Linked DNA regions of Callithrix jacchus. The protein of the gene in region 1 interacts with the protein of each later gene in a pairwise test. Links are inferred from orthologs where the notes say so. Each region holds a gene or a part of one and is shown in the gene's direction. Other genes may lie near its edges. The genes, in order: AGTRAP, MCEE, PDHX, NKG7, ECPAS, MRM1 and FARS2.

Region 1 (4,082 bases):
TAGGTTGGGCGAGGTCTTGGTGGTCCGAGAGTGGGGGCAGGGTGGATAGGGCGTGGCAGTGATAGGGTCAAGTACGTCACTTGTCGTTCAGGTATGGCTGAGGAATTTCTGGCGCCCGAAGTGAAGTAAGGAGCATACTGCATCAGCGCCTTTTCCATACTTATCAAGAAAGAACTACAATATTAAGATTTATATTACTCTTACTGATTATCTTTTCTAAGAAAAAAGGAAACAGGAGCAGAAGTAGAACATGAGAGTAGCCATGGAACGTGATCACGGAAGCACAGCATCACATAGAAACAGTTAAGCCTCCGGATGTCTGCGGGCCTACCTGACAGCCGTCAGGCCTACCACAAGAGCTTGGAGAAGCGGAGTTTTCTCCAAACTTCCCCAGGAAGGAGACGTCTCAGCCATTTTGGGCATCTCCTTCCCTAGCTGGCTAAACAGCGGGCGCTTTCCCGGCGCTGGCGCTGCCGCACAGTCGCGGCGCCCTCCAGCAGCCCTTATACAGGCGTGATAGAGGGCTTAGAGCATCTTGCCTTAGTGTCATTCATTTCACAAGTCACCCCAGGTTCACACTTCCGACCTGAGAGGCATCAGCAAAAGAATTAAGATCACCTATAAATAACTAAGATCACATATGAATAACTAATAACTACTAGGGTTATATTTCTAGTTGCTTTCTTCTTCATTATTTATACGGAAATAGGCTGAGGCCTTTTGCTCCAGGCTTGGCGCTTATGGGATCTCCCCCCAACACCCCACAGCAAGTCTTCAACAGTACTGGTTTAACAATTGTCCCAATAACGTTTTCTTTAACAACAGTGGTTAGCTCATTTAATCCTCACAAGGATCACCTGAGGTAGGTATCCTAAATAACCCATTTACACAGGGAAGTGGGGAGGAGACAGGGTGCCCCCGGGGATGAGGCACAAGCTGTTTCCACATCAGCACTTCGCGCCTGGACGGTCCCCCAGTTGTCCTGGCTGCAGGTAGTCCCATCAGCCCGCCTCCTGGGATATTTGCCAGGCAGGAAACCTCCTGAGCGACAGAAACTCCAACTTTTGCCAGCGGCCTCCAGGTACTGCCTGGGCAGCGGCGGGAGCCTGGAGCCTGGGGGAAGGCGCTCGCTGCGGACGCCGTCTCCAAGCAACGGGCGGCGGTCACGTGACCCGCCCGAGCCCGCTTCACGTGGTCGCGAGCTGCGCTGGGGTTGGAGTCTCCGCAAAGGGCGGGGCGGGACCGGTGAAGTTTTTTCCCCTGGGGCCCAGGAGCCCCAGCTGCTGCCGCGCAGGTGCCCTCGGCCTGGGTCCGGATGGAGCTGCCTGCAGTGAACCTGAAGGTGGCGACGGGCGGGGCAGGGTCCCCTTTGCGGGAGGGGGTGGGACATTTGCATTTTCCAGGAAGGTGGGAGGACTGAGGGATGGGAGGGAGAAAGGGAAGGTACAGACCCCAGGAGAGAAGGAGGTGGGCAGGCAAGCCACAGCAGGAAGAAGGATCCAGGTACAGGCCAGCAGGGTGATGCAGAGCGGCCGTTGGACGTGGCAGGGCAGGGCTAGGGCTGTCCCCTCCCGGACTGAGACCCTCCAGCGGGCAGGGCCGGTCCCACGTGCTGTGGCCCACACGCCCAGAATTCCCCTGGAGGAGGAGGAGGAAGGCGGGCGGGAGGGGCTTGGAGGCGGCTCACCTCCCCGGCGTGAGTACAGGGGCTGGGCCTGTCCCCGGGTCCCAGCAGCGTCCCGGGAGCCTCCTCCTGTGCTAAATCGGGTTAAGGAAATCACATGTTCCCAAACAATTCGTTTTATAAAGTTTACACATCCAGCGCCCTTACTTCATAATCAAGAAGCACGAACCCCAACAGAAATTACTTAAAAGCAGAAAACCCCAACTTTGTGCACTTGGGAAAACTCTACAGAGCTTCCTGGGGTGTCTTCATTTCCCGAGCCCTGAGCTCAGCCGGGTCTTGGTGCCAGCGGCTGTTCTTTTTCTCCCCGCCCAGCCCCACCGCCCCCGTGTCTGGGCTCTGTTTGCGTTAGTGGGGCTAGGGGCTTTAACTTTGGTCAGGAAGCTGTGGACCTTGAGCCAAACCGGCCATTTTGGGTCTTAGTGCAGCCTCCTTTGAGGCAGTATCCGGGAATGTCCTCTTACTCATGAGTGACAAAGCATTTAGCACCCTGTTGGTGTCTGGGACTAAAGGAACCTGAGAGATAGATGGTTACAAAACAGTGGCTTAATACACGTTTATTATTATACAACATATGTGCTATGACTTGCATTGGACACGTTTCCCTTTTTTTTTTTTTGCGACTGAGTTTCACTGTTGTCGCCCAGGCTGGAGTGCAATGGCGTGATCTCAGCTCACTGCAACCTTCGCCTCCCAGGTTCAAGCGATTCTCCTGCCTCAGCCTCCCAAGTAGCTGGGATTACAGGCGCCCACTACCATGCCCGGCTAATTTTTGTATTTTTAGTAGAGATGGGGTTTCGTCATTTTGGCCAGGCTGGTCTTGAACTCCTGACCTCAGGTGATCCCCCTGCCTCAGCCTCCCACAGTGCTGAGATTACAGGCCTGAGCCACTGTGCCAGCTACATTTCCTTTCTTAATCATACACATGCTTCAGCAAACCTTCCTGAACGTCCAGTCAACAGCGGAGGGGAGAGATGGCTGGAGCAAGGGAATGGGTTTGCATAGAAAGTTCAGCTGGGAAGAAATTTACATGACAGCAACCTAGATTTGTTGGTATCAGTATTCACTCTATCCCAGGCAAGGTGGGGTTAACACCAACTGCCTTTTCTCTGATTAGGGATGTGCTTAAAATAATTGCTAAGAGAGGATCAGGTGAGATCGGTGGGAGAGACAGAGCTCTCATTTATGGGCGTCTGTGTTGTGCCAGGTTATTTATTTAATCAAGGTAACCTTATGAGAAAGCTGATACAGTCATCTTTTTACAGATTAGCAAACTTCAGCTCAGATTGGGTGACTTGCCAAGGTACCGCAGGGAGTAAGTGGCAGTGTCAGTATTTGAACTCACAGGGATCAGACTCCAGGGCCAGGTCCTTTCTGGGGTACCAGCTTACTCAGGGCTGACTTTGACCTCGGCTGTTTGTGTCCTTTGGGAGGGCTTAGTCTCTCTGAGGTTTTTTTTGAACAACTTTTTGGGCCTGACAGGCTGAGCATCCACAGGTATGAGCTATGCTGGCTTTCTGTATCCAGGATGAAAAGGCTGGTCCTTCCCTTGACTTGGCACATAAGACCCCCTGTCTCCAAGGGTCTTGGCCACTACCAGAGACAAGAAAGTGCTGGGAGGCCCTGAGGGATCAGGGTTGCCAGGTCATATATAGAATCTCCTATACATGACCAGGTGAACTTGAATTTCAGATCAACAACAATCAGATTTTTACTTTTATTATTTATTTATTTATTTTTTTGAGACGGAGTTTTGCTCTTGTTACCCAGGCTGGAGTGCAACGGCGCGATCTCAGCTCGCTGAAATCTCCGCCTCCTGGGTTCAGGCAATTCTCCTGCCTCAGCCTCCCGAGTAGCTGGGATTACAGGCACGCGCCACCATGCCCAGCTAATTTTTTTTTTTTTTTTTGTATTTTTAGTAGAGATGGGGTTTCACCATGTTGACCAGGATGGTCTCAATCTCTCGACCTCGTGATCCACCTGCCTCGGCCTCCCAAAGTGCTGGGATTACAGGCTTGAGCCACCATGCATGGCCCCCAATCAGATTTTTAATATGAGTATGTCTCAGGCAATATGTGGGACATATTAACCAATTATTCATGATCTGATGTTGGAAATTAACTGGGTGTTCTGTATTTTTTTTTGAGATGGAGTCTTGCTCTGTCACCCAGGCTAGAGTGCAGGGGTGCGATTTCAGCTCACTACAACCTCTGCCTCCCGGGTTCAAGCGATTCTCCTGCCTCAGCCTCCTGAGTAGCTGGGACTACAGACACACGCCACCATGCTCAGCTAATTTTTGTATTTTTAGTAGAGATCGTATTTCACCATGTTGGTCAGGCTGGTCTCAAATTCCTGACGTCATCATCTGCCCACCTTGGCCTCCCAGAGTGCTGGGATT
Region 2 (3,981 bases), on another chromosome or scaffold:
ACAACTCTATTTTGGACACAGTGAATTTGAGATGCTTGACAGTACCAAAATTTTAAAAATCGTTAAAAGTTGTACAGTGCGGATATCCCAGTTGTGAACTTGAATTCAAACCAAGTTCAGTCTGCAGTTACTATGAGCCGGGAACTCAAGGAGAGGTTGGAGTTTGAAATATAAATGACTAATAATATTATAGATCATATTTGAAATTCTTCAACAAAATACGTGTAAAACACTTGTGCTGGGAAGAGACATGAAAGTTCTAATTATCAAGAAGCTTAGTGGTGGGGGCGGAGAGACAAGTGACCAGTTCATACATTCAAAAAAGTATGCTCAACACTGAGTGCTTTAGGAGCATATAGTTGGAACCAACAGCTTGCGTGTAGACGGATGGGGGCGAAAGAAGCCTCAAGGGAAGCATCTAGGCGTTAATAAGTGAGGTTGGGGTGATTACAGTAACACTCAACTGACAGATCCATACTGTACAAATATTAACAATTTTAAAAATTGTGATAGCCTAGGAAGGTATAAACTCTGAAATTTGGGGAAAAGTTATTTACATTTCCCCTTACCTTCCCCCAGCTCCACAGTTTGCCGGAGGCCGGCAACCCGCGTCCACGTGAGACCCTGGTCGCACCCAGAGCCCGGGATCCGCGCACTTACGTGAGGAAGCACTCGGGCCGACCAGTGGCTTTGCCGACTTCTGTCAGACAGAGCTCCAGGGTCCGTCGACGCCAGACTGTCGACGTCGGTGCCATGGCTGTCAGGAACTCCCGACACAAAGCCGCATGCAAGGGAAGTGAGCCGCCAGGAAACCGCTCCGCAAAGATGCGCCTAGCACAACTTGGATTTCAGAGTCGAAAGTTCCGCTGTGCACAGGGGGTTCCGGACTCACCCTCAGCTGGAGCCAAAGGCGGCGCGAGCGCTTTCGCTTCTGCAGGGGGGCGGGAAAGAAAAATCGCCATGGTCAGCCCAGACGCCTTTGAACTCTCTCCAAACTTCGTTTTGTATTTTTCAGGGGCCCACAAAGGGTGACCAGTTCTGGCTTTAAGTTCCTCCTTTAGCTAAAGTAGGCATGTTGTAGCAGGAAAGCAGCGACCTCCGCCACGCCCCTAAACTATCTGTCCCCGCCCCCTCTGCCTCCCGCCCCGCCCTCCCCAGCTCGTCTCTCTTGGTCCCAAGCTAGTCGGGATGTAGCGGATTGCTTTCCAAGATGGCGCGCGCGCTGAAGGCGGCGGCCGCGAATTCCGTAGGTGAATACTGGGCACCGGCGAAGGTCGCCGTGGGGCTGGGCATGTGGGAACGGAGGTCAAGGGGCAGAGGAGGCCTCGGCGTGGCCAAAGCCCTTGATCTAATGCCCTCTCTCCTCCGAGGACGCGTTCTACGGTGGCTGCCAGCACCTAGGGGGTCCCTTCCAGAAACGCCTCCCCTTAGCGCGGGGGTTGCCTTATTGTGCATGAGTCCCCTTGCCATCTAGGAGCTGTTTGCCCTGGGCGCTGCACCTTCTAGCATGCGGGCAGGAGAGGCAAGGGAACTTGCCCGGCTGGTCAGGCAGGCCAGGGACAGAAGTAAATAGAAGCGGGTTGTTAAGTTATTCTACCGCGCACCAATAAAAAGACTGGGGAGAAACCAGAGAGGAGAGCAAGTCCTCCTCGGCGGAACTCCTAGCATGATCAGCTATTGGAAACACTCCAAGGTCGTGTAAAGAATAGAAAAGGAGGCCAGGCGCCGTGGCTCATGCCTGTAATCACTGCACTTTGGGAGGCCGAGGCGGGCGGATCACGAAATCAGGAGTTCGAGACCAGCCTGGTCAACATGGTGAAACCCCGACTCTACTAAAGATACAAAAAATTAGCCGGTTGTGGTGGCGCGCGCCTGTAATCCCAGCTATTCGGGAGGCAGAGGCAGGGGAATCGCTTGAACCTGGGAGGCGGAGGTTGCAGTGAGCTGACATTGCGCCATTGCACTCCAGCCTGGGCGAGAGGGCGAGACCCTCTCTAAAAAAAAAAAAAAAAAAAAAAAAAAAATCCCAAAAGGAGTGCTTTTTTTCCCATATCCACTAATATATTTATTATCACGTACTTAGAAAGATAAAAACATGTGGATTTGTAAACTTCCTTGAGTTCGCTCCGCTTTCATTTTTAAAAAATATGTAGATAGAACCAGTTGTGACAGAAATAACTGTCATAATTGTCACGTTTTCTGACTCTCACTTACTCCTCTTTTTATTCTTTTTTTTTTTCCTCTTCCCCCTTTTATGAGAAGGCAAGCATTTACCTTAATCTGAGATTCCCTATTAGGAAGAAGGTGCCAAGTGGTAATGCCCAGAGTTAATCTGGGACATTCAATGTAAATCCTTTTAGTAGCAGAGCCCACATTCTTAACCGTAAGGCATGCCCTCTCCTTAGGTGATACACAAAATCGGAATGTAAAAATATAAAGAAATGAATATTTGGGAAAAGGTACTTTTATGTCTGTATTTTTAGACTGCACACTTTAATGGTTGACGGTTTAGGAAGAGTATGACTTCCAACAGGTCATATACGTACTGCAAGAACTGAATACAGATAAAGATGCATGTTTGTTTTGTAACTTACATACACTTCTTGGCATAAAGGAAAAATGAAGATAGTGTATTCCAAAGATTGACTTTGTTTTATTGAAATACTTGAAACTTAATGGCTCCACTTTTGTGTGTGTGTGATTGAGTATATGTAAAGGAAAATGTACCTTTTTTTTTTTTGAGGCAGAGTCTGTTACCCAGGCTGGAGTGCAGTGGCGTGATCTTAGCTCACTGAAACTTCCACCTCTCCAGTTCAAGCCATTCTTCCGCCTCAGCCTCCCAAGTAGCTGGGATTACAGGCGCCTGCTGACACCACATCCCGCTAATTTTTTGTATTTTTATTAGAGACGGGATTTCACCATATTAGCCAGGCTGGTCTCCAACTCCTGGCCTCAGGTGATCCTCCCGCCTTGGCTTCCCAAAGTGCTGGGATTACAGGCGTGACCTATCCCCAAGGCTTCCCAAAGTGCTGGGATTACAGGCGTGACCTATCCCGCCCAGCTAGAATTTGCCATTTTAACATTGTTAAGTATATCAGTGGCTTTAACTACACTCATTTTGTTGTGCAACAAACAGTCACCACCTTCCTCTAGGGAGCTTTTTCATCTTACCCAAACTGAAACTTTGTACCCGTTTACACAACACCTCCCTGTTCTCTGAGCCAGCTCTTGGCAACCACCATTTACCTTCTCTGTGAATTCTGACTGCTAATATAAAGTGGAATTACACACTATTTTTCTTTTTTGTGTCTGGCTTATTTCACTTAGCATGATGTCCTCAAGGTTCATCCATATCTTAGCATGTGTCAGAATTTACTTTTTAAGGCTGAATAATATTCCGTTGTGTGTATATACCACAGAATGGTGGCTTACCCCTCCCTATAATCCCAGCACTTTGGGAGGCTGAAGTGGGTAGAACTCCTGAGGTCAGGAGTTCAAGAAACAGCCTGACCAACATTGTAAAACCCTGCCTCTACTAAAAATACAAAAGTTAGGTCAGGTGCAGGGGCTCATGCCTGTAATCCTATCACTTGGGAGGCCGATGAGGGTGGATCACCTGAGGTCAGGAGTTCGAGACCAGCCTGGCCAGCGTGGTGAAATCCCATCTCTACTAAGAATACAAAATTAGCCGGATATGTGCCGGGCCCTTGTAATCCCAGCTACTTGGAAGCTGAGGCAGGAGAATTGCTTGAACCCGTGGGGCGGAGTTTACAGTGAGCCCAGATCACACCACTTCACTCCAGCCTGGGTGAAACAGTGAGACTGTTTCACCAAAAAAAAAAAAAAAAAAAAAATCAACAGAACTATGCTATATTAACCTGATGGTGATGAGAATCTTTTGGATATTTTGTAGACTGGGGCATAGTAGAAGACCATCTTAGGCTGAATTTTGCCCTCTACTGACTTATGAGGCATCAAGTT
Region 3 (3,500 bases), on another chromosome or scaffold:
TTGGCAAAAATATAATTAATTATTGGATATTAAACTTCTAAAAATTATTTTAAGAAAATATATTGCCTAATACCACTGTAACTTAGCATAGTGAGTTAACAGCTTGACATATTTAGTAATCTAATTACAATTTTTTTACAAGGCAAAGATAACTTTGTTTTAAAGAATAATACAAAGGCAAGTCTGTAACTAGTTATTTTTTTCATTCTAAAAAATATCATGGGTTAGATTTGTTACATTAGGTTGTACTGATGACATATTGAGCAAAATTTAAAATGCTTTGGTTTCCTGGTCATGAATAAGCTGATTTGCACCTTAATAAACAATGAAACAATAAGTGAACAATAATATAGAAAATATTGTGGTGAAAGCCATGTTTACAATAAACTTGGCACTTTTTGAATGCCATGTGAATATCATTTTGTGAGCATACAGGATGAGAATATGGTTTAATTGTTCGTGTACCAGATAACATCCACTGCACGGAAAAAAGACCAATTTCCTTTTTAAAAATCACTGTCTATATCCAATTTTAATAAAATTCTAACTATTATTTGGTTTTTGAAAATATGCAAATATTAAAACATGACAAATAATGGGAGTCCACAGACCAGGTAAGAAACAGGATTTAATTTTCTAGGTCAAATAATTGGTTTTTAATAATAACCTTGACATCTGTATGTTTCTGTATCTTTTCTCCACATTTCATCTGCATTTTCTTAAAGCTCTCTTAAAATCCTTATTGCTAATTGTGGTTATCTACTTTGCTCTTATTTCCAGGGATGCTCTCAGACTTGCCCAGTTGAAACAGATGGGCAAGATTACCGAGTCCAGACCAGCCCCAGCCCCTGCAGCCACTCCCACAGCACCTTCACCCCTACAGGCCACAGCTGGGCCATCTTATCCCCGGCCTATGATCCCACCAGTATCGACTCCTGGACAACCCTTTGCAGTGGTAATGTTCTCTAAATGGATTTTTCTTTTTGTTTTTTGAGACAGAACCTTGCTTTGTTACCCAGGCTGGAGTGCAGTGGCACAATCTTGGCTCACTGCAGCATCTGCCTCCCAGGTTCAAGAGATTTTCCTGCCTCAACCTCCCAAGTAGCTGGGATTACAGGTGCGCACCACCATGCCCACTTAATTTTTGGATTTTTAGTAGAGAAGGGGTTTCACCATGGTGACCGGGCTGGTCTCGAACTCCTAACTGAAGTGATCTGCCTGCTTTGGCCTCCCAAAATGCTGGGATTACAGGCATGAGCCACTGCACCCGGCCTGGATTTTTATTTTTCAAATTTAGTGAAAGAGAAAATAAGAACAATTACTATGTGTTTTAAGAGTAGTTTTAAAACAGATTCGTTTTACTAATCTGTTGCAGTAGTAGCTAAAAGCAATAAAGAAATAAAACACTCCAAATGCTTCGTTTTACAGATTTTCTATCAGAAACCAAAATTTGTATGTTAACTTTCAAATGAACATTAGAACTATAATTCAATTTAAACATTAGAACTATAATTCAATTTAAAGTTACCACAAGTTCCACAACTTCAATAACATATATATTCTCTATAATATCATGTCTTTTTTTCTCAACTGTAATACTAATAATTGGTACCTGACACTAGCTCCCTTTTCTGGCTGTTTTATTTTTTAACTAGGGAATTGCTAATCCCACTATAAAGAACTATATAGTCATTCTTTCCTTCTCAGATGCATGCAGTATAGCAGCCCCTTTTGTTTTCAAATTACTCCATTTTGCCTCTCTATCTTTCCTATTCAGGTTACTTCCTATCAGAAGAAATGTAGGATAACCAAGTTTATTTAAGTGCGCAAATGGGCACTTAAAAAAATAAAAAGCAAAATAAATAGATAAATCGGTACTCCTTCTAATGGAGAACTATATACTAAATGATATTTTGAAAGAGTTTAAAACAGTACAGCCTTCATGGGAAACAGATTTTCAAATATTCATTCATGATTAATATACTACATACTGGAATAACCTACTTTTAAGGACATGTAATTGGACTATATAGTGTATAGTCCAAGAGTGAACTATACACTCAATATAAGATATGTATAGTCCAATCATATGTCTTTAAAAAGTAGGCTATTCAAGGCTGGGTGTGGTGGCTTACACCTGTAATGCTAGCAGTTTGGGAGGCTGAGTTGGGAGGATTGCTTATGCCCAGGCATTCAAAGACCAGCCTGGACAACATAGTGAGGCTTCATCTCTACAAAAAATTTAAAAATTAGCCGGGTAGTCAACTACCCAGGCAACAGAGGTTAGGGAATCACTTGAGATTGGGAGGTTGAGGCTGTAGTAAGCTATAATCATGCCACTGCACTCAAGCCTGAGTTACAGAGGAAGACTATCTCCAAAACAAAAAGTTATTCAAATTAGGAAGGTAAACCATACTTTCAAATGCTTATAATATGTGGAGAGCATTTATTCTGCGTCACCAAGTACTTTGCTAACATAGTGTTTAATTTCTTTCAGTTGCTTTGTATTATCTTGAAGTGATTGTAATGAAATCCCAAAATAGAGTTAAGGACAAGAAAGGAGTTAGATATAAAGTCTATTGTGCTTTGTTGTCCATGGAACAGAATGGAACAACTATAATGAAGTTACCAGAATATTTTATTATCTCATTCATACTTTCTATTATGAATCCCTAAGAAATAAGATACTCATGTTATTTTTAAAAATTGCAAATCAAGATAGAAGTAATTGAATTGCCTGTATAGAAGGTCCCCACCTTCTAATTTTCCTTGTAATTTCTTTGATCCAAAAGTTGTTTATAAGTATAAATTTAATTTCAGAATATTTGAAGACCCTTCATTTACCTTTCATGATTTCTAGTTTAACTCCACTGTGTTAGAGATGAGACACACTGCGTTTTTAGAACAATCATCTTCTCAAATTTATTGAGATTTATTTTATATTTATAATATGGTCTGTCTTGGTGGATGTTTCTTGTGTACTTGAAAAGGTGGTTCAACTTAAAATTTTTTGACTTTACTATGGTGTAAAAGTGATACACATTCAATAGAAAGCAATACAGTATGTACTTGCAGTGCTGGGGAACATTGGGCAGCTACAGCTCCCAGTTAGCCACATGATCATCAGGGTAAACAACCGCTACTCTGCAGTGTACGGTGTAGCCAGATGATTTTGCCCAACTGTAGGCTAATGTAAGTGTTCTGAGTACATTTACGGTAGGCTAGGCTAAGGCTAAGCTGTGATGTTCAGTAGGTTAGATGTGTTAAATGCGCTTTTGACTTATGATATTTTCCACTTACGATGGGTTCATCAGAATGTCACCCATTGTAAGTCAAAGGGCAACTATATATTAATAGTTGGTTTGTTGATTTATTGGCTGTTTTATTTCAGTTGTGTTAAGTGATATTTGTAACAAAAGTTGCTTACAGATGGCCTATGTCTGTGTCTCTCTTCTTTTTCCTCTCTCCATGTATGTGTGTACACCCACACATATCTATTG
Region 4 (3,931 bases), on another chromosome or scaffold:
GGAAACTTACAGTCATGGTGGGAGGTGAAGGGGAAGCAGGCACCTTCTTCAGAGGGTGGCAGGAAGACGTGTCAAGCGAAGGCAGGAGGAGCCCCTTGTAAAACCATCATGCCCTGTGAGAACCACTCACTAGCATGAGAACAGCACGGGGAAGCCATCCCATGATTCAATTACCTCCACACGGTCTCCACCTAGACACACATGAATTACGGGGATACAATTCAAGATGAGATTTGGGTAGGGACACAAAGCCTAACCATATCACCCTGTTTCACAGAGGTCAGGTTTTTCTGGGCCTTCTTCCTGGGCTGTGGCACCTTCACCTTATACCTGCTCACGGGTGAATGTCGCCAGGACCTGATGTTGGTGTGGATGGAAGAAGCTAGCGTTTGGAGGGCTGGAGAACCCTGGACTGGAGTCCTTATGTCCCCCAACAACCCCTAAGCCCCCAGTCCTGGTGATTAAAGGCCACCAGGCCCACCCAAGCAGAGATGCCACTGAATTCATTAATCAGATGAAGATGTGGGCATGTCTGCAACTCTGCAAACCTTTCAGAATTGTGAATCTCTGCTGTTTACCTGCCCTTAGCATATGTTCCAAACGGGCCCAGGATTCTGAGCTTCTGCCCGCTCCTTCCTCCCTCAGGACCTGGAGTTCAGGCCCCCAGTTCCTTCTTCCTTAAGCCCCAGGAGTTCTAACTCCCAAGCCCCCTCCTTTAGCAGAGACCCTAGACTTGGGGCCTTCCCCTCCCAGAATGGAAGACTGCAGAACCCACAGGAAAGCATGACACATCCCCAACTGTCCCCTCTGGCCACATCTCCCCACCCACTTAACACACACTCTAGCCTGGCTGGCTTCCTCCCACCTCAGGGCCCCCAAGCCTCTTTCTCTCTCTCACCTCTTCCTGGAAGCCCACACTTGGTGTTGAGGGCTCCACAGGTGGGAGTCATAGGACCTGTGACAGAGGCAAGTTCTAAACCACCACCCAAACCACTGACGATCTGACACCCTCCGTGTCCTCCCCCACCACACATGAAGGAGGGAACCGGACCCCGGGGAGGGGAGGGAGGACGTTGCCTGTGCAATCCAGGAAGGGAGGGTATGTGAAAAGAGTCAGCTACCGGGAACTGTGTGAAACCAAACCAGCCTCATTTGACAAAGCACAGGACCCCTTGCTGCCCCAAGACTGCTTCCTGGTCGCTCTTTCTTGAGCTCAGAGGACCCAGGAGTCCAGGTGCACAGCCTCCAGGTGTACAGCTTCCTCCTCTCTGAGATTCCAGTCCGATCAGCAGCCTCTTCCTCCCTCAGGACCCAGAAGCCCCGAGCTTACCCCCATGGAGCCCTTCCGGTCCCTAGCCCTGCTTACGGGCTCCCTGGGCCTGATTTTCTGCCTGATTGCTTTGAGCACCGACTTCTGGTTTGTGGCTGAGGGTCCCACCTTCTCAGCTCACTCGGGCCTCTGGCCAAATGAGCATGGGGACCCCGTAGCAGGTAAGGGGAGGGGGTGTCCTGGGGTGGGGGAGGGTTGCCAGAGGAGACGGTTGCTCAGTGGTCTCCCCGTGATCAGGCTACATCCATGTGACGCAGAGCTTCAGCATCCTGGCTGCCCTGTGGGCCCTGGTGTCTGTGAGCTTCCTGGTCCTGTCCTGCATCCCCTCATTGTCTGCTCCTGGCCGAGGCCCCCTTATCTCAACCATCACAGCCTTTGCTGCAGGTAAGGACTCTGAAGTGCACTGGGGCATTGGGAGCCAGCAAATTCCTGCCGAGGGACTGAACCATCTTTCTTGTCCTTGTCTCCAGCCCTCTCCATGCTGGTGGCCATGGCGGTGTATACCAGCGAGCGGTGGGATCAGCCTCGAAACCCCCAGGTCCAGACCTTCTTCTCCTGGTCCTTCTACCTGGGCTGGGTCTCAGCTATCTTCTTGCTCTGCACAGGTGACTATCCTGCCCACTGCCCTGGGGAGCTTGGGAGGGCCCAGCTGGGGTCGCTGAGGATGGAGGGCAGGGGGCAAGTGCTTAAACTCTTTCTGACCACCCAGGTTCCCTGAGTCTAAGTGCTCACTGTGGCAGCCCCAGGCCTGGCTATGAAACCTTGTGAGTGGAAGGCCAGAACAGCAAGACGAGTTTTGATTGCTGTATTCAAAGGCCTCATCTGGAGCCTCGGAAAGTCTGGTCCCACATCGGTCCCGCCCTTCCCCAGCCATTTCTCCTGTTTCTTCATTCATTCAACAAAATTTGGCTGGAATCTGGCTATTTGAGATTAATTCTGCCAAGACATAAGCCAACCGTCTGCCAGCTCCATGGTGGGTGATGCCAGGCACCCAGGGAAGGTGAGGGCCCACCAGGCCGACCACCTGCAGGGCGCTCCTGCCCAGCAAGAGGGCCTGACCTGTGTCTGTCTCTCCCCTTCTCCAGTGCTTTTCTTTCTCCTGGTGTCTTTCTCCCTTTAGCCGGCTCTCTTTCCTTCTCTCTCCCTCTCTGATTTCATCCCCCTTGCCAGAACTCGGTCCTTCCTTGCACTCAGTCTCTCTCAGTTCTCTTTGCACATTTCCCCATGCTGGGGACACAGGCACGGGCCAGACTCAGACCCTGCCCACCACGGGCTCAGTCTGTGAGGCAGTGGGGAGAAGGCACTTACAGACCAGAAGCAGCTAATACAGGTCAGACAGCAGGCCCAGTGCAGGCAGGACACTGGAACAAGACTGACCATATTGTGGAGGGATGGAGATGACTTCTCTGGAGAGAGAATGTTTAGGGGCTTCTTAAGGGCCAAGTAAAGGAAATATCCAGGCAGAGGGAACCAAAGATGGATGCACAGAAAGGTCAAGAATCTTGTGGGGATGAAGAATGGTAATTTATGGCCAGGACATAGAATGTAGCGGGCAGGGGATGGAAAAGGAAGAGGGAGAGGCAGGTGGGGGCTGTGTCCTCTAATGTCACACTGGACTGTCTCCTGAGTGTGATGGGGAGTTCAGAGAAAACTGGGCAGGCGAGAGACAGTGTCAGCTCTGGGTGCCAGAAAGACCCCCTTGTAGACATGGAGGGGAGGCCAGAAGGTCAGGGAGGAACCTGGCAATGTAGTAGGTGAGACAGGACAAGGCCTGACCTGGGACCAGGAAAGGAGGGAATGAGCCAGATAGATTCAAGGGCAGGAGGAGCAGGACTTGGGGACCCAAGACTTTTCAGGGTGAGAGGCAAGAAGAGGGCAAGGACAGTGCCCAAGGGTCTGGCTCAATGAACTGGATGGGACGGCAGGGCCATCCCTCATATGGTGGAAGACACTAAGCTCAATTGGGATATGGTGGACTATTAAGGCCCTGAGGGGCAGCCAGGAGCAGAACTTGAGTCTGGGGCTCATGGGAGAGACCTTGGGTTGGGGATGGAGTTTGGGAGGCTGTGACAGCATTAAGCGGCACTGAAGCTGGTGGTGAGGAGGCTTTCCTGGCAAGGGAGTTCAGGGTGGAGCTTCAAGGGATACCCAGATTTACAAGTGAAGGGGAGAAGGCAGAGGAACAGAAGTCTGTAAGACAGCTGGGGACCTGGAGAGCTTCTGGGGTGCCTGGAATGTCAAGTTTCTTTCTTTTTTTTGTTTTTTGTTGGAGTTCAGTGGTGTGATCTCAGCTCACTGCAACCTCCATCTCCTGGATTCAAGCAATTCTCCTGACTCAGCCTGCCGAGTAGCTGAGATTACAGGCATGTGCCACCATGCTGGCTAATTTTATTTTGTTTTGGCATTTTTGAGATGGAGTCTTGCTCCGTCACCCAGGCTGGAATACAATGGCGTAATCTCACCTCACTGCAACCTCCATCTCCTGGGTTCAAGTGATTCTCTTGCCTCGGCTTCCCAAGTAGCTGGGATTACAGGTAACTGCCATCATGCCTGGCTAACCTGACTAATTTTTGTATTTTTTTTTTCTTTTTTTTTGAAACA
Region 5 (4,000 bases), on another chromosome or scaffold:
GAAGGACTTTCACTTTTCATTTTATAATACTCCAAATCATTTGCATTTTTTACAAAGATCATGTATAATTTCTATAATAAAAACAATAAAGGAAATAAGAATGTCTTCACTGTTGTACCTTGTACATGGCCTATGTTACACAGGAATGACATATATTCCATTTTCAAGACATTACTTAGGGGTTTACAGATTTCTGCTTTAAAGAATAAATGCAATTTCAATCCATTTAAGAGTCATTTCTTCTTATACCAAAAAAACAAAAACCTGATCTTGTATCTAATTTGTTATGACAATACCATCACTTAAAGTACAGCAATTATACAACCCCTTAATTTGAATTTCATTTTGCAAGTGTACAAGACCTCACGGACAAAGAAAAGGCAGAAAGTTAAAATCAGCACATCTAAAATAAATCACTCTGGTTACCAAAAAGACGTATGCTATCTCAACAAAATCTTAGAGCTCACATAGGCATAGGTACTTCCCTGTAAACTTTAGGAATCTTGCTCATCTAACTTTTGCAGGGCTGAGTGAACCTTCAGCTCCCGTCAGTCGTTTCGGGAGCACCAGCAACCTCCACCCCAGCACGGGACTGTAGGGGGCCACTGCGGCGCAGGGGCTCGCCCGACACTGAGTCAGCGCCGGGCCCGAGAAGTTCGGCAGGAGGCGCAGGGCGGGGCTTCCTCCCGCCGACTCCTAGCCGGGCTATACTTTTCCGAGTCCACGTCTCTTCCTTTGGACAGGCGTGTTTCCCTAGGTCGGGCCCAGCCAGCGTGACAGCCGCAGACCTCGGAGAAGGGTGCTCCGGCGCCGCCTCGAGGACTTCCCCTAGCCGTCAGGGCAGCCCGGGCCCGCTCGGCCCAGCCCATCACGGACTGAGACTCCCTGGGCCCGGCCCGCCGAACGCCTCGCTCCACAGCCCTCACTTCGCGGCGCCGAACTCAGCGTCCGCGGCATGGAGACAGGCTCCGACTCAGGTCAGAGGCCCGCGCCAGGCTGGCTCCGCGCGCGCGGCGGGGCAGTGAGGCCGGGCCGCCCGCGCAGACCGCCGCGTGCCGGGTCCGCGCGGGTAGCGCACGCGGGGCGGGCGGCGACAGGTGGGCAGGACGAGCCGCGAGCGAGCGAGGGCGGGCGGGCGCGCGAGGGGCCCGGCGGGGGGGCCGCTGGGAGGATGGCTCAGCTCTTTCTAAATATAAAACCGGCGTGAGCTGGGCGAGTGCAGCGCGGAGTCGCAGAGCCGCCGCGCGGGCCTGGCGCACGGGGATTCGGCCACACAGACGGCGGCGGCGGCAGCGGCGGCTCCGCAGAGGCGCGAGGCTGCGGGAGCGCCCGAGTCGCGAGCTCGCGGGGGCAGCGAAGAGCGACGCTCGCAACGCGGAGGACGCAGGCGGCGGCGGCGGGCGGGCCTCGGGGCGCAGCGCCGTCCGCGCCGAGTGACCGGAGGCGGCTCCCGGCCTCTGCCGCACCGCGAGCCGCGAGCCCCCTGGCCGCACCCTCCCCCTCCAGCTCCTCCCTCGCTCCCTCCCCGGCGCAACATGGCTGCGGCCGCCGCCTCCGCCTCCCAGGATGAGCTGAGTAAGTGCTGCGGCCGAGCCTGCGGCCACGAGCCGAAACAGAAGCCGCGCGGGACTGGGGGGGCGGCGGCCGGGGCCGGGTAGGAGGGCTGGGGCGGGCGGGCGGCGGCCGCGGAGTGAGGGGGGCTGGGGCGCTCGGGCCTGTGGGCGGGCGGGGCGCGGGCCGTCGCCGCTGGCGTTTGTAGGCCTCAGGTTTGCACCGTCACGTTGCGAAATTGAAACCGGAGCCTCAGGCGGAGCCACCTCTGCCCGCGATCCGCCCTGGCCCTGGGTGGGGGGAGTCTAGCCCCCGGCCCGCCGAGCCTTGGCTGGCAGGAGGGCCGGAGCTCCGGATGACGGGCAATGTCCGTCCGTCCCGTCTGACCCCGCCGTGGCCTCGGGTCCCCGACGGTTGGCGAGTTCTAGAAATGTAGCTCTCGGGAAGGGGGAGAAGGTGCCTTTCTGTGACACTCTAGAATATCAGCCGAAAGGTCACGAATAGGCGGTGACCCTCGGGTGGAGTAGGGAGGGCGGGAGGGCGGAGAGGGTCGCGGGATGAACCGCTGGAGAAACCGCGGGGTGACAGCGCTTTCAGAAAGGAGGGTCAGTGCCCCCTCGACCGTACGCGGTGCAGCCTTCCCAGGGACGGCGGTCCCTGTCCGGGGAGAGCAGTGGTCACCCTGAATCCCAGGCCGCCCCGCCCGCCCCCGGGGTTCGCCTCGATGCTTTGTGGGAAGTGTAGTCCCGGGGCGCCGCGGGCCCACGCTGGGGTCATAAATACTGAATTTTCATAGGACATAGGACATGTGAGATAATTTCTGATTGCGTTTTGGGTATTTATTTTCCGAGGGTTTTCTTTCTTCCTTTTATTTATTATTTGTCAGTGCTGCCCTTCAGTTTATGGCAAAAACAAGAAAGGTGTTATTTGTAGATGATGTGGGTTTTAAATGGAATAAAGAGTGGATGCGGTGTTGCAAGCTTTATGAAGCTTACGTTGTTAAAGCCGCTTCTGAATTTCCATATGAAAGTAGTTATACACGTAATTTATGTTTCTTTGGTGCTTGTCAGTTTAAAGCTACTTTTATATACATGATCTCACTTTTGCCCTCATAGCAACCTTGTGAGGCAGATAGGTAGGAATTATCCTTGTTTTAAAGAGGAGGCAGGTTTGGAGAGATTAGGTTCCTTGCTGCTTTGACACAGAACTGGTGGAGCGGGAGTACTGTTTGCTCTTTTTGAAGCTGAAGTAAACACTTGGTGTGATCCTGAGTAGATTGGAGAGTCGGAGAAGGCAAGGTCTCATGGTGCGGTTAGAGATACAAGTGGGCTGAATAGGCTGCTACTCTGACAGTTCCACGTGGAAGCACCACCAGGCCTTCTGAGATCAGTTCTGTGTTTTGTTTTTAATTGTGATAAAAATACACATACCATAAAACCTACCATCCTTGCCGTTTTTAAGTGTACAGTTCAGTTGGATTGAGCACATTCTCACTGTTGTGTAATCATCACCACCTTCCGTCTCTAGAACTCTTCATTATGCAAAACTGAAACCTGATACCCATTAAACAACAATCCCTATTCCCTCCTCCCTTTCAGCCCCTGGCGACCATCGTTGTACCTTCTGTTCCTGTGATTTTGAGTATATTTGTACCTCATGTAAATGGAATCATACAGAATTTGTGACTGGTTTTATTTTCATTTAGCATAATGTTCTCCAGGTTCATCCATGTTGTTGCATGTGTCAGAATTTCTTTTTCTTTTAAAGGTTGAATGATACTCCCTTGTGTGTATATACCACATTTTCTTGTCCATTTCTCTGTCTATAGACGCTTGGGTTGCTTCCACCTTGTAGCTATTGGGAATAACGCTGTTGTGAAAATAGCTGTACAAATATCTACTTGCTTTCAGTTCTTTTGGGTACATACCTGGAAATGTCATTGTTGGATCATGTGATAATTCTAGTTTTAAGTTTTTAAGGAACCAGTGGACTGTTTTCAACAGTGGTCGTACCATTTTACATTCCCATCAACGATACACAGGGTTCTAATTTCTGTACATCTTGGCCACCACTTATCTGTGTTCTCAGAAGTAACCATCCTGATAGGTGTGAGGTGGTCTGATTTTTTTTTTCAATTGTTATGCTATATGACATCTGACTTCCTGTTGTAACACCAAACACATTCAAATCTGAATTGCTAGCAGGAATGGGGAACAAAACTAGAGGAAGAAGAATTGGGCATTCTGAAGTGGCTGAAGTATTTGGGTCTATGCAGTGTGCTTCCATATATTCAGGTACTGGTTAAGATGCTGATAGTTAAGGGATTTCCTGGCTTTAGTAGTTAATGGCAAGTTAGGAACAAATAATTGAAATCCTTGCCTTCCCCTTCCTTTGTTCGGTTAAATTATCAGTCATTAGCCACAGATAGATACCTGTTGACTTGGTTTTT
Region 6 (3,500 bases), on another chromosome or scaffold:
TCTACTAAACCCAGGAGGCAGAGGTTGCAGTGAGCCTAGATCTGCCACTGCACTCCAGCCTGACAGAGCAAGACTCCATCTCAAAAAACAAAAGTTAGGTTTGAAATGCCCACCTAACAGCAAAACAACAACTGTGGAGTAGGCAAGTAGAGGAGTGAAACTGGAACTCAGAGGCATGGTCCAGCCTAGAATATACAGTTGGTGGGGGTGGGGGGTTGGGGGGTGTCGGGGGTTGAATTCAGATAGTATTTAAAGTCATGAGGCTAGATGAGACCAATAAGAGATGAACATATATGGAAAAGAGATCCAGGGCCAGGTGAGGTGGCTCACGCCTATAATCCCAGCACTCTGGGAGAATAAGCAGGAGGATTTCTTGAAGCCAGGAGTTTAAAAGCAGCCTTTGTAACCTCGTCTCTACAAAAAAAAAAGAAAAAGAAAAAAAGAAAAAAATTGGGTGCAATGGTGTGCACCTGTATCCTCAACTACTCAGGAGGCTGAAGTGGGAGGATGGCTTGTGCCAAGGAATTAGAACACCGTACTGAGCTGTGATTTGGCCACCATACTCCAGGCTGGGCAACACAGCAAGACCCCATCTCTCTTTTTTAAATTTTTTGAGATGGGCTTTTGCTCTTGTTGTTCAGGCTGGAGTGCAATGGCGCGATCTCAGCCCACTGCAACCTCCGCCTCCCGGAATGCAGCAACATGGAGGCCATTGGTGACTTTGACAAGGCCTTGGATTCAGTGTGACAGGAGGGGCTGACTGCTATGAGATCAAGAGAGTGAGAGGGGAATTCAAGCAATTCTCCTGCCTCAGGATCCCAAGTAGCTGGGATTACAGGCACCTGCCACCACACCCAGCTAATTTTGTATTTTTAGTAGAGATAGAGTTTCTCTATATTGGTCAGGCTGGTCTCAAACTCCTGATCTCAGGTGATCCACCCACCTCGGCCTCCCAAAGTACTGGGATTACAGGTGTGAACCATCAGGTCCTACTGAAGATTTTTTTTTTTTTTGAGATGGGGTCTCACTCTGTCACTCAAGCTGCAGTGCAGTGGCACAATCTCAGCTCACTGCATCCTCCGCCTCCCGGTCTCAAGAGATTCTTGTGTCTGAGCCTTTTGTGTAGCTGGTATTACAGGTGCCTGCCACCAGGCCCGGCTAATTTTTGTATTTTTGGTAGAGATGGGGTTTTACCATGTTGGCCAGGCTAGTCTTGAACTCCTGACCTCAGGTGATCTGCCTGCCTCAGCTTCCCAAAGTGCTGGGATTACTGGCTTGAGCCACAGTGCACGGGCTCTGATGAAGATTGGATGAATTAGAATATGAGGACCAGGCGAGGTGGCTGACACCTATAATCCTAGCTCTCTGGGAGATCAAGGCAGGAGGATTGCTTGAACCCAGGAGTTCCAGACCAGCCCGAGGAACATGACGAAACCCCATCTCAGAAAAAAAAAAAAAAAAAATGCAAATACTAGCTGGGCATGGTGGCAAGTGCCTGTAGTCCCAGCTACTTGGGAGGCTGATATGGGAGGATCACCTGAGCCCAGAAAGTTGAGGCTGTGGTGAGCTGTGATTGTGCCACTGCTCTCCAGCCTGAGTGACAGAGTAAGACCCTTTCTCAAAATTAAAATTAAAAAAGAATTAGAACATGATATCAGGGCCGGGTGTGGTGGCTCACACCTGTGATCCCACTACTTTGGGAGGCCGAGGTGGGTGAGTCACCTGAGGTCAGGAGTTTGAGACCAGCCTGACTAACATGGCGAAGCCCCATCTCTATTAAAAATAAAAAATTAGCCAGGTATGGTGGTGCATGCCTATAATCCCAGCTACTTGGGAGGCTGAAGCAGGAGAATTCCCTTGAACCCAAGAGGCAGAGATTGCAGTGAACCAAGATTGTGCCATTGCACTCTAGCCAGGGCAACAGAATGAGACTCTGTCTCAATGTCTCGAAACAAAAGATAGAACATGATATCTTCTTCCTCCTTTCAGACCAAAGCCCAGCAGGGCTGGCTTGTGGCTGGCACGGTGGGCTGCCCAGGGCCTAAGGTTCCCCAGTCCTCCAAGATCCCCATCACGAGCTCCTTGGAGTTCCTCTGGGATCAGCCTACTCTCCTTGTGCTGGGTAAGTGGATGGCCCTGCTTTTCTTTGCTCAGATTACATTTCCCGAGCAATTGGGTGTCCAGCTGGGCAGCCCTAAACCTTGGCCCCATGCCCTGCAGGGAATGAGGGCTCAGGTCTGTCCCAGGAAGTGCAGGCCTCCTGCCAGCTGCTCCTCACCATCCTGCCCCGGCGCCAGCTGCCTCCGGGATTTGAGTCCTTGAACGTCTCTGTGGTTGCAGGTGCGTCTTGTCCCCTTCCCTTTCCTCTCCCTCTAATCACACAGGTGGGATTGGATTCCCTCCAATCCCGTTTGCCAGCTGTCTGTGTGCCTCAGTTGCTTTATGTGCAAAATGGGGAAAATACATCCTGTTGGTGAAATGAGGGGCTGCCTGGCACATGTCTAGTCTCTAGACATCCTCCTCTTCTGTCTCTCTTTCTGTTCCTTGTGTCTGTGCAGGAATTCTTCTTCACTCCATTTGCAGCCAGAGAAAGGGTTTTCCCGCAGAGGGGGAGAGAAGGCAACTTCTCCAAGACCCCCAAGAATCCTCAGCCAGGTCCAAAGGACTCAGCGTGGCTCAGCACCCAGGGCTGTCTTCAGGATCAGAGAAAGAGGCAAAATGAGGGCTGAGGCAGACTGTCCGCGACGTACACATGCTGTAGTCAGGGACTACATCGCCTGCTCCAGTGTGCGGGAGGCTCTGCCTGAGTGTGCATCAGGCCCATGTTTATTGACCACAGTCTGCCCGGGAGAAGGGGACTGCTGTGGAGGCCAGAAGAAGCTGTTTCCTGTCGTGATGTTGGACCTGTAGTAGGATATGGTAGTTTGTTGATTTCCATGATGGGCTAGCATGGAGGGAATCTGTCCTCCCAGGCCCTGCCTGGAAGTCGGGGGGAGGTTCAGACACCTGCAGGGAGGCAGGCAGCCCAGCCCAGGGACCCTGTTCTTCTAGAGCCGGTCGTTGCCCGTGGCGAATGTGTGTGTGAGAATGTGGGGGGTGGAGAGAGCGGGGCCTCGATATGGGTAGACAGTGCGCATGCGCAGGACCACACGCGGCCCCCACCGTGGAGCCCTGAGCTCAGGCCTCATCTTCCTGTGGCTCGCTACCTCGGCTTGTCTCAGGGTTGTGAGGCTCAAATAAAACGTCAGCCAGCACGTGGTAGATTCTGGCCTATTCCTCCATTAGGTGGCAGCCTCGCTCTTCTGTCCAGTCTTCAGGCCGCTTCCACCGCCACCTTGCTGGGGAGACTCCCGGCTGCAGCCCCATGAGAGGCCAGGGGAAATTAGCAAACATCTCCCACCCCACTGGGACCCCTACGGGTGACGGAGTCAGTTCCCCTCAAGGGGAGGACCTGGGGGCAGGCTTGCCGTGGATTGTGCAACGGAAACAGATTTGGTGCT
Region 7 (4,051 bases), on another chromosome or scaffold:
GTGTGCTACTCACTGGCCATTTCCACGCTCTAGGGAAGTTTTACGTATGCAACATATTGGCCTTAACTTCACCAATGGCTGATTTCCATCTTTTTTTTCTCTTCTGCAGAAACATAACACTAATCATGCTCCGAGAGCACCAACCAAGGTAGACTTTAGGGGGAAAACGTTATAAGACGTGAACGTCTTCCCTGGTAGAAAGAAGAGCAAGCCCTCCGCTCCTCCCCGAGGTCTCAGAGGCCACACCTGCAGGCAGGAGCACGCTTTTCTATGGCGGAACCCGGTCCCTTTCTCGCGGCCGCCGGCGCAGGACGGTGGTTCCAAGGACATTCCGCGGCAGCCCGCGCCCCCGGCCCCCGGCCACCGGCCCCCGGCCCCCGGTCCCCGGCGACCGCCGCGTCACCTGTAATTGTAGGCGCTGAAACGCTTGCTTTCTCTCAGCATAGCCCGGTACAGATCTAACACTTGTGCGCGGCTGGAGGCTGCCATTTTGGAAAGAAAAAAACAAACGGGTCCTCTTCGGAGAGGTCCCAAGTCCAGCCCAACCCACGGAACTTCAGCCTGTGCAGAAACTACGAACGAAATAAAGTGCGGCGGCTCGGCCTTGCCAGCTAGGCGGGCACCCCTGAGGACCGCAGACGGCACCCGGCATCCCGGGCCTCTTCCAAGGCGGGCACAGGCAGGCCTCGGGGCAGCTAAGGGGGCGGTGCCTGGAGGGAGGTGCCTCCGCTCCGCCCAGCCCCCGGCTGGAGGCTCTGGACCCAGCAGCCGCTCCAAGCGGCTGAAAGGCGGGGAAACTAGAGGCCTGGCCGTCGGGGCATCCAGCCAAGCCCCTGGGGGACGAAGATCGGAGGCGCGAGCATCCGAGAGAACTGCAGTTGCACCACGGAGAGCCTTTGCGAACCGTCCGGGGTCTTGGAGGGGACATTTGTGTTTCAAGGCGCAGCGGCCCTTAGTACCTCCAGGAGGCTGCGTTGCCAGGGTTACCGAAGGCCGCCGCGCCGAAGGCCCGCCCTTGACCGCCGATTCCCCGCCCCCACTGGCTGCGGCCGCCCTCAGTGCTGCCTGAGAGGCCTTGCGGGATTTCAAGGGTGACTTGACTTCGCCCGATCCTGCTCGGCTGGATGGGGTTTCATGGCCTTCTCTATGTTGGGAGGCGCGATGTCTGGGTGTGGAGGTGATGAGCCAGGGGTTCTGTGGTACTCCGGCGCTGCTCAGGGCGACCTGCATAGGGGCCTGCGGGACAGGCCCGCTTTCTGTCAAAATGGCGGTGCCCAGCGTACAGGGGTGTCTCTTCAGTTGGGGTTTAAGATTCTTGCCCTGAGAGCGAACTAGCCTGCCACGCTTCCGATTTTGAAACACTTGGGTCTGGGTTTCCCGGGAGAGCGGTGGGTGAGTGCCGGCCTCGTTGCAGCCTGGGGTGCGACGTGGGCAGTTGGTGTGGTAGGGGGTTTACATTGGCCGTGGATTTTTTTCCTCTTTCCTGATGTGGATTTGCTTTTGAGTGAAGTGTCCCCGTGGTTTTGTAAACTAATAAATTTGTAAAATGCAGCCTGGCTGTAGACCTCGGAGAATAATTAGAGACCTTTAGGGGTTTAGGTATTCTCCAAGAAGCAGAGCAAGTTTTCTCCCATGGCTTGACCTAAACTTTTTTGAATTACCTTATTAAAGTGGTGGATAAAGTTGCTTGTTCTAATTTTTGAGCATGGGACTGGAGGCAGGGAAGCCTCAGCCAATTCTAGTACTGTGTTCGCAAAGCAATTTTCTTATTTTTGGAATCTTGCTTTACATAACCTTAGGAAGAACGACACCTTTCTGCATTCAAGCACAGTGAGGAGTACCTTTATACGTAAAAACAAAAGGGCTGGACGCAGTGGCTCCCGCCTGTAATCCCAGCACTTTGGGAGGCCGAGGCGGGCGGATCATGAGGTTAAGAGTTCAAGACCAGACTGGCCAACATGGTGAAACCCCGTCGTTGTGACATGGTAAAAGCCCCATAAAGCTGCATACCTCAACCATACCTAGGCTTTGTGTTGAAACTGCTCTCTGTAACCCTGATGTGACAGGCAAGCAGTCCAAACCCACGCCATCTTGGCCCCTGCGACTTGTAATAAGTAACTAAGGTCTGTAATTTCCACCCATATCCAGACAACGTGTAAACTAACACTTATCTTGACTTCTGTAAACCGCTTAAGCCACAATCGGAATATCCAAAGCCCTCTGGCCCTGGGAATGTCCGGAGCCCCTCACTCTCATCTCCGCCCCAGAGGTAATTTACGGAATCCACTGGCCCTTGGAATGTCTAAAGCCCCTCACCCTCACCCCCAAGGTGGTTTACAGGCGTAAAAGTTCTTGACACCCTCCTTTCAGGGCCACGGGTTGGAGAGACGAGAGTCCTCCGTGACCGCCGGCAATTAAGACCCTGCAATTTGGCATACTTTTGTCTTGGTGTTAACTTTCTATGCTCGGGCCAGTACAACACGCTACTGAAAAATACAAAAATTGGCTCGGCCTGGTGACTCGTGCCTGTAATCCTAGCTACTTGGGAGGCTAATGGAGGAGAATCAGGGACCTGGGAGGTGGAGGTTGCAGTAAGCCAGTTACAATTGTTTCAACCTATTAAGGAATTTAATCATTAATGTATATAATTAATGTATCTAAATGACTCAACTTTGTGGTAATCAAATAAAACTTCCAAGTAAATATGTATAGTTTAGATAGTTTGGGTAGCCTTGTCCTCTGTTAGTACAAGCAATGGTTGCAGTTAGGAAAGCGATAGCTTCCCAGTTAATTCTGAGCCAAGTCTTCACAAAAATACCTCATTATTTTATTTAAAATGGTTTACCAGTTTGATGGACATCATTGCCTTGAGAGGCTAATAGAAAATATTAATTCAAAAGCTACATCTCACTTTTGCATATCTTTATTGTGGAGATGCCTTTTTTTGTTTTTAAAAAAGAAGAAAGTAACTCTATTTGAGACTGTAAGTAGAATGGGCCAGAAGCTGAAGAATGGACCATACCCATATGTTCCTTAACATGCATTCTGTTCTGGGTTGAAATTTTTCTTAGGGAATATCTACAATAGGAGGTACCATTTAGGAATCAAAACATAAAAATTTCTTTAGTATTCGTTTTTCGTTTATCCAAAGTTATCAAGTAACTATAGTTCTTTATGTAAAATCTTGTATTATCTTCTATTAAAATTAGGGTTGTCCATGACCACCTAGTGCTGTGTGAAGAGAAATTTCTCAAATCATAATAAACAGCATAACAACAATTTACTGTCCTGAAGCTTAAATATCAAAGTGATGTATGGAGTAAAATTTGTATAGAAATAGTAACTTATGATATTATTTAGAAATTATTCAGGTGGGCATGGTGCTGTACACCTGTAATCCTAGCACTTTGGGAGGCCGAGGCAGGTAGATTACTTGAGCCCAGGAGTTTGAGACCAGCTTGGACAACATGGCAAAACCCCATCTATACAAAAAAATACATCATAGCAAACCTCATCTCTACACAAAAAGTACAAAAATTAGCTGGGAGTGGTGGCAGGTGCCTGTAGTCCCAGCTACTCAGGAGACAGCGTGTAGTCCCAGATACTCAGGAGACTGAGGTGGGAGGATTGCTTGAGTCCTGGAGGTCGAGGCTGTGTTGAGCCATAATCACGGTACTGCACTATAGCCTGAGCAGCAGAGTGAGACCCTCTCCAAAAAAAAAAAAACCAAAAGAAAAAAAATTATTCTATCCTACACCAGACATGAATCTAAGTATTATACATTGATCCTTCATTTTAATAGAATATGAAGGGGGAAGACCTTATATATCAACTCATTCATTTGTATAGATGAACAAACTCAAGCCTTCCTCATTCCTTCCTTCCTTCAGCATTTATTGAAGACTTCGTAAGTACCATAATTTATTATTTTTTTTTGTTTTTTGTTTTTTTTTTGAGACGGAGTTTCACTCTTGTTGCCCAGGCTGGAGTGCAATGGCGCAATCTCAGCTCACTGCAATCTCTACCTCCCGGGTTCAAGCGATTCTTCTTC

The links.
Region 2: the proteins of AGTRAP (region 1) and MCEE interact in binary tests that used the Homo sapiens proteins (3 or more experiments, as listed by UniProt). The two-hybrid records come from large-scale screens. The link is inferred for Callithrix jacchus from reciprocal best matches to the Homo sapiens genes AGTRAP and MCEE.
Region 3: the proteins of AGTRAP (region 1) and PDHX interact in binary tests that used the Homo sapiens proteins (3 or more experiments, as listed by UniProt). The two-hybrid records come from large-scale screens. The link is inferred for Callithrix jacchus from reciprocal best matches to the Homo sapiens genes AGTRAP and PDHX.
Region 4: the proteins of AGTRAP (region 1) and NKG7 interact in binary tests that used the Homo sapiens proteins (3 or more experiments, as listed by UniProt). The two-hybrid records come from large-scale screens. The link is inferred for Callithrix jacchus from reciprocal best matches to the Homo sapiens genes AGTRAP and NKG7.
Region 5: the proteins of AGTRAP (region 1) and ECPAS interact in binary tests that used the Homo sapiens proteins (3 or more experiments, as listed by UniProt). The two-hybrid records come from large-scale screens. The link is inferred for Callithrix jacchus from reciprocal best matches to the Homo sapiens genes AGTRAP and ECPAS.
Region 6: the proteins of AGTRAP (region 1) and MRM1 interact in binary tests that used the Homo sapiens proteins (3 or more experiments, as listed by UniProt). The two-hybrid records come from large-scale screens. The link is inferred for Callithrix jacchus from reciprocal best matches to the Homo sapiens genes AGTRAP and MRM1.
Region 7: the proteins of AGTRAP (region 1) and FARS2 interact in binary tests that used the Homo sapiens proteins (3 or more experiments, as listed by UniProt). The two-hybrid records come from large-scale screens. The link is inferred for Callithrix jacchus from reciprocal best matches to the Homo sapiens genes AGTRAP and FARS2.

What each region holds. Positions count from the first base shown.
Region 1 is NC_133508.1:49,618,120-49,622,201, forward strand, and holds the start of AGTRAP (type-1 angiotensin II receptor-associated protein), read left to right. Parts: upstream 1-1,282; 5' UTR 1,283-1,315; coding exon 1,316-1,342; intron 1,343-4,082. UniProt on the Homo sapiens protein: Appears to be a negative regulator of type-1 angiotensin II receptor-mediated signaling by regulating receptor internalization as well as mechanism of receptor desensitization such as phosphorylation.
Region 2 is NC_133515.1:42,764,122-42,768,102, forward strand, and holds the start of MCEE (methylmalonyl-CoA epimerase, mitochondrial), read left to right. Parts: upstream 1-1,181; 5' UTR 1,182-1,210; coding exon 1,211-1,250; intron 1,251-3,981. Other genes in the region: MPHOSPH10 (U3 small nucleolar ribonucleoprotein MPP10), read right to left, coding at 661-755. UniProt on the Homo sapiens protein: Methylmalonyl-CoA epimerase involved in propionyl-CoA metabolism.
Region 3 is NC_133511.1:100,321,495-100,324,994, forward strand, and holds part of PDHX (pyruvate dehydrogenase protein X component, mitochondrial), read left to right. Parts: intron 1-780; coding exon 781-955; intron 956-3,500.
Region 4 is NC_133523.1:44,955,802-44,959,732, reverse strand, and holds the start of NKG7 (protein NKG7), read left to right. Parts: upstream 1-1,131; 5' UTR 1,132-1,334; coding exon 1,335-1,491; intron 1,492-1,567; coding exon 1,568-1,714; coding exon of another isoform or gene 1,715-1,800; coding exon 1,801-2,048; coding exon of another isoform or gene 2,049-2,098; 3' UTR 2,099-3,931.
Region 5 is NC_133502.1:159,831,371-159,835,370, reverse strand, and holds the start of ECPAS (proteasome adapter and scaffold protein ECM29), read left to right. Parts: upstream 1-1,200; 5' UTR 1,201-1,535; coding exon 1,536-1,575; exon of another isoform or gene 1,576-1,654; intron 1,655-1,772; exon of another isoform or gene 1,773-2,007; intron 2,008-4,000. UniProt on the Homo sapiens protein: Adapter/scaffolding protein that binds to the 26S proteasome, motor proteins and other compartment specific proteins. May couple the proteasome to different compartments including endosome, endoplasmic reticulum and centrosome.
Region 6 is NC_133506.1:96,873,309-96,876,808, forward strand, and holds part of MRM1 (rRNA methyltransferase 1, mitochondrial), read left to right. Parts: intron 1-1,989; coding exon 1,990-2,122; intron 2,123-2,220; coding exon 2,221-2,340; intron 2,341-2,558; coding exon of another isoform or gene 2,559-2,722; exon of another isoform or gene 2,723-3,254; intron 3,255-3,500. UniProt on the Homo sapiens protein: S-adenosyl-L-methionine-dependent 2'-O-ribose methyltransferase that catalyzes the formation of 2'-O-methylguanosine at position 1145 (Gm1145) in the 16S mitochondrial large subunit ribosomal RNA (mtLSU rRNA), a universally conserved modification in the peptidyl transferase domain of the mtLSU rRNA.
Region 7 is NC_133505.1:25,187,323-25,191,373, reverse strand, and holds the start of FARS2 (phenylalanine--tRNA ligase, mitochondrial), read left to right. Parts: upstream 1-1,251; 5' UTR 1,252-1,392; intron 1,393-1,799; 5' UTR 1,800-1,985; intron 1,986-4,051. Other genes in the region: LYRM4 (LYR motif-containing protein 4), read right to left, coding at 404-489. UniProt on the Homo sapiens protein: Is responsible for the charging of tRNA(Phe) with phenylalanine in mitochondrial translation.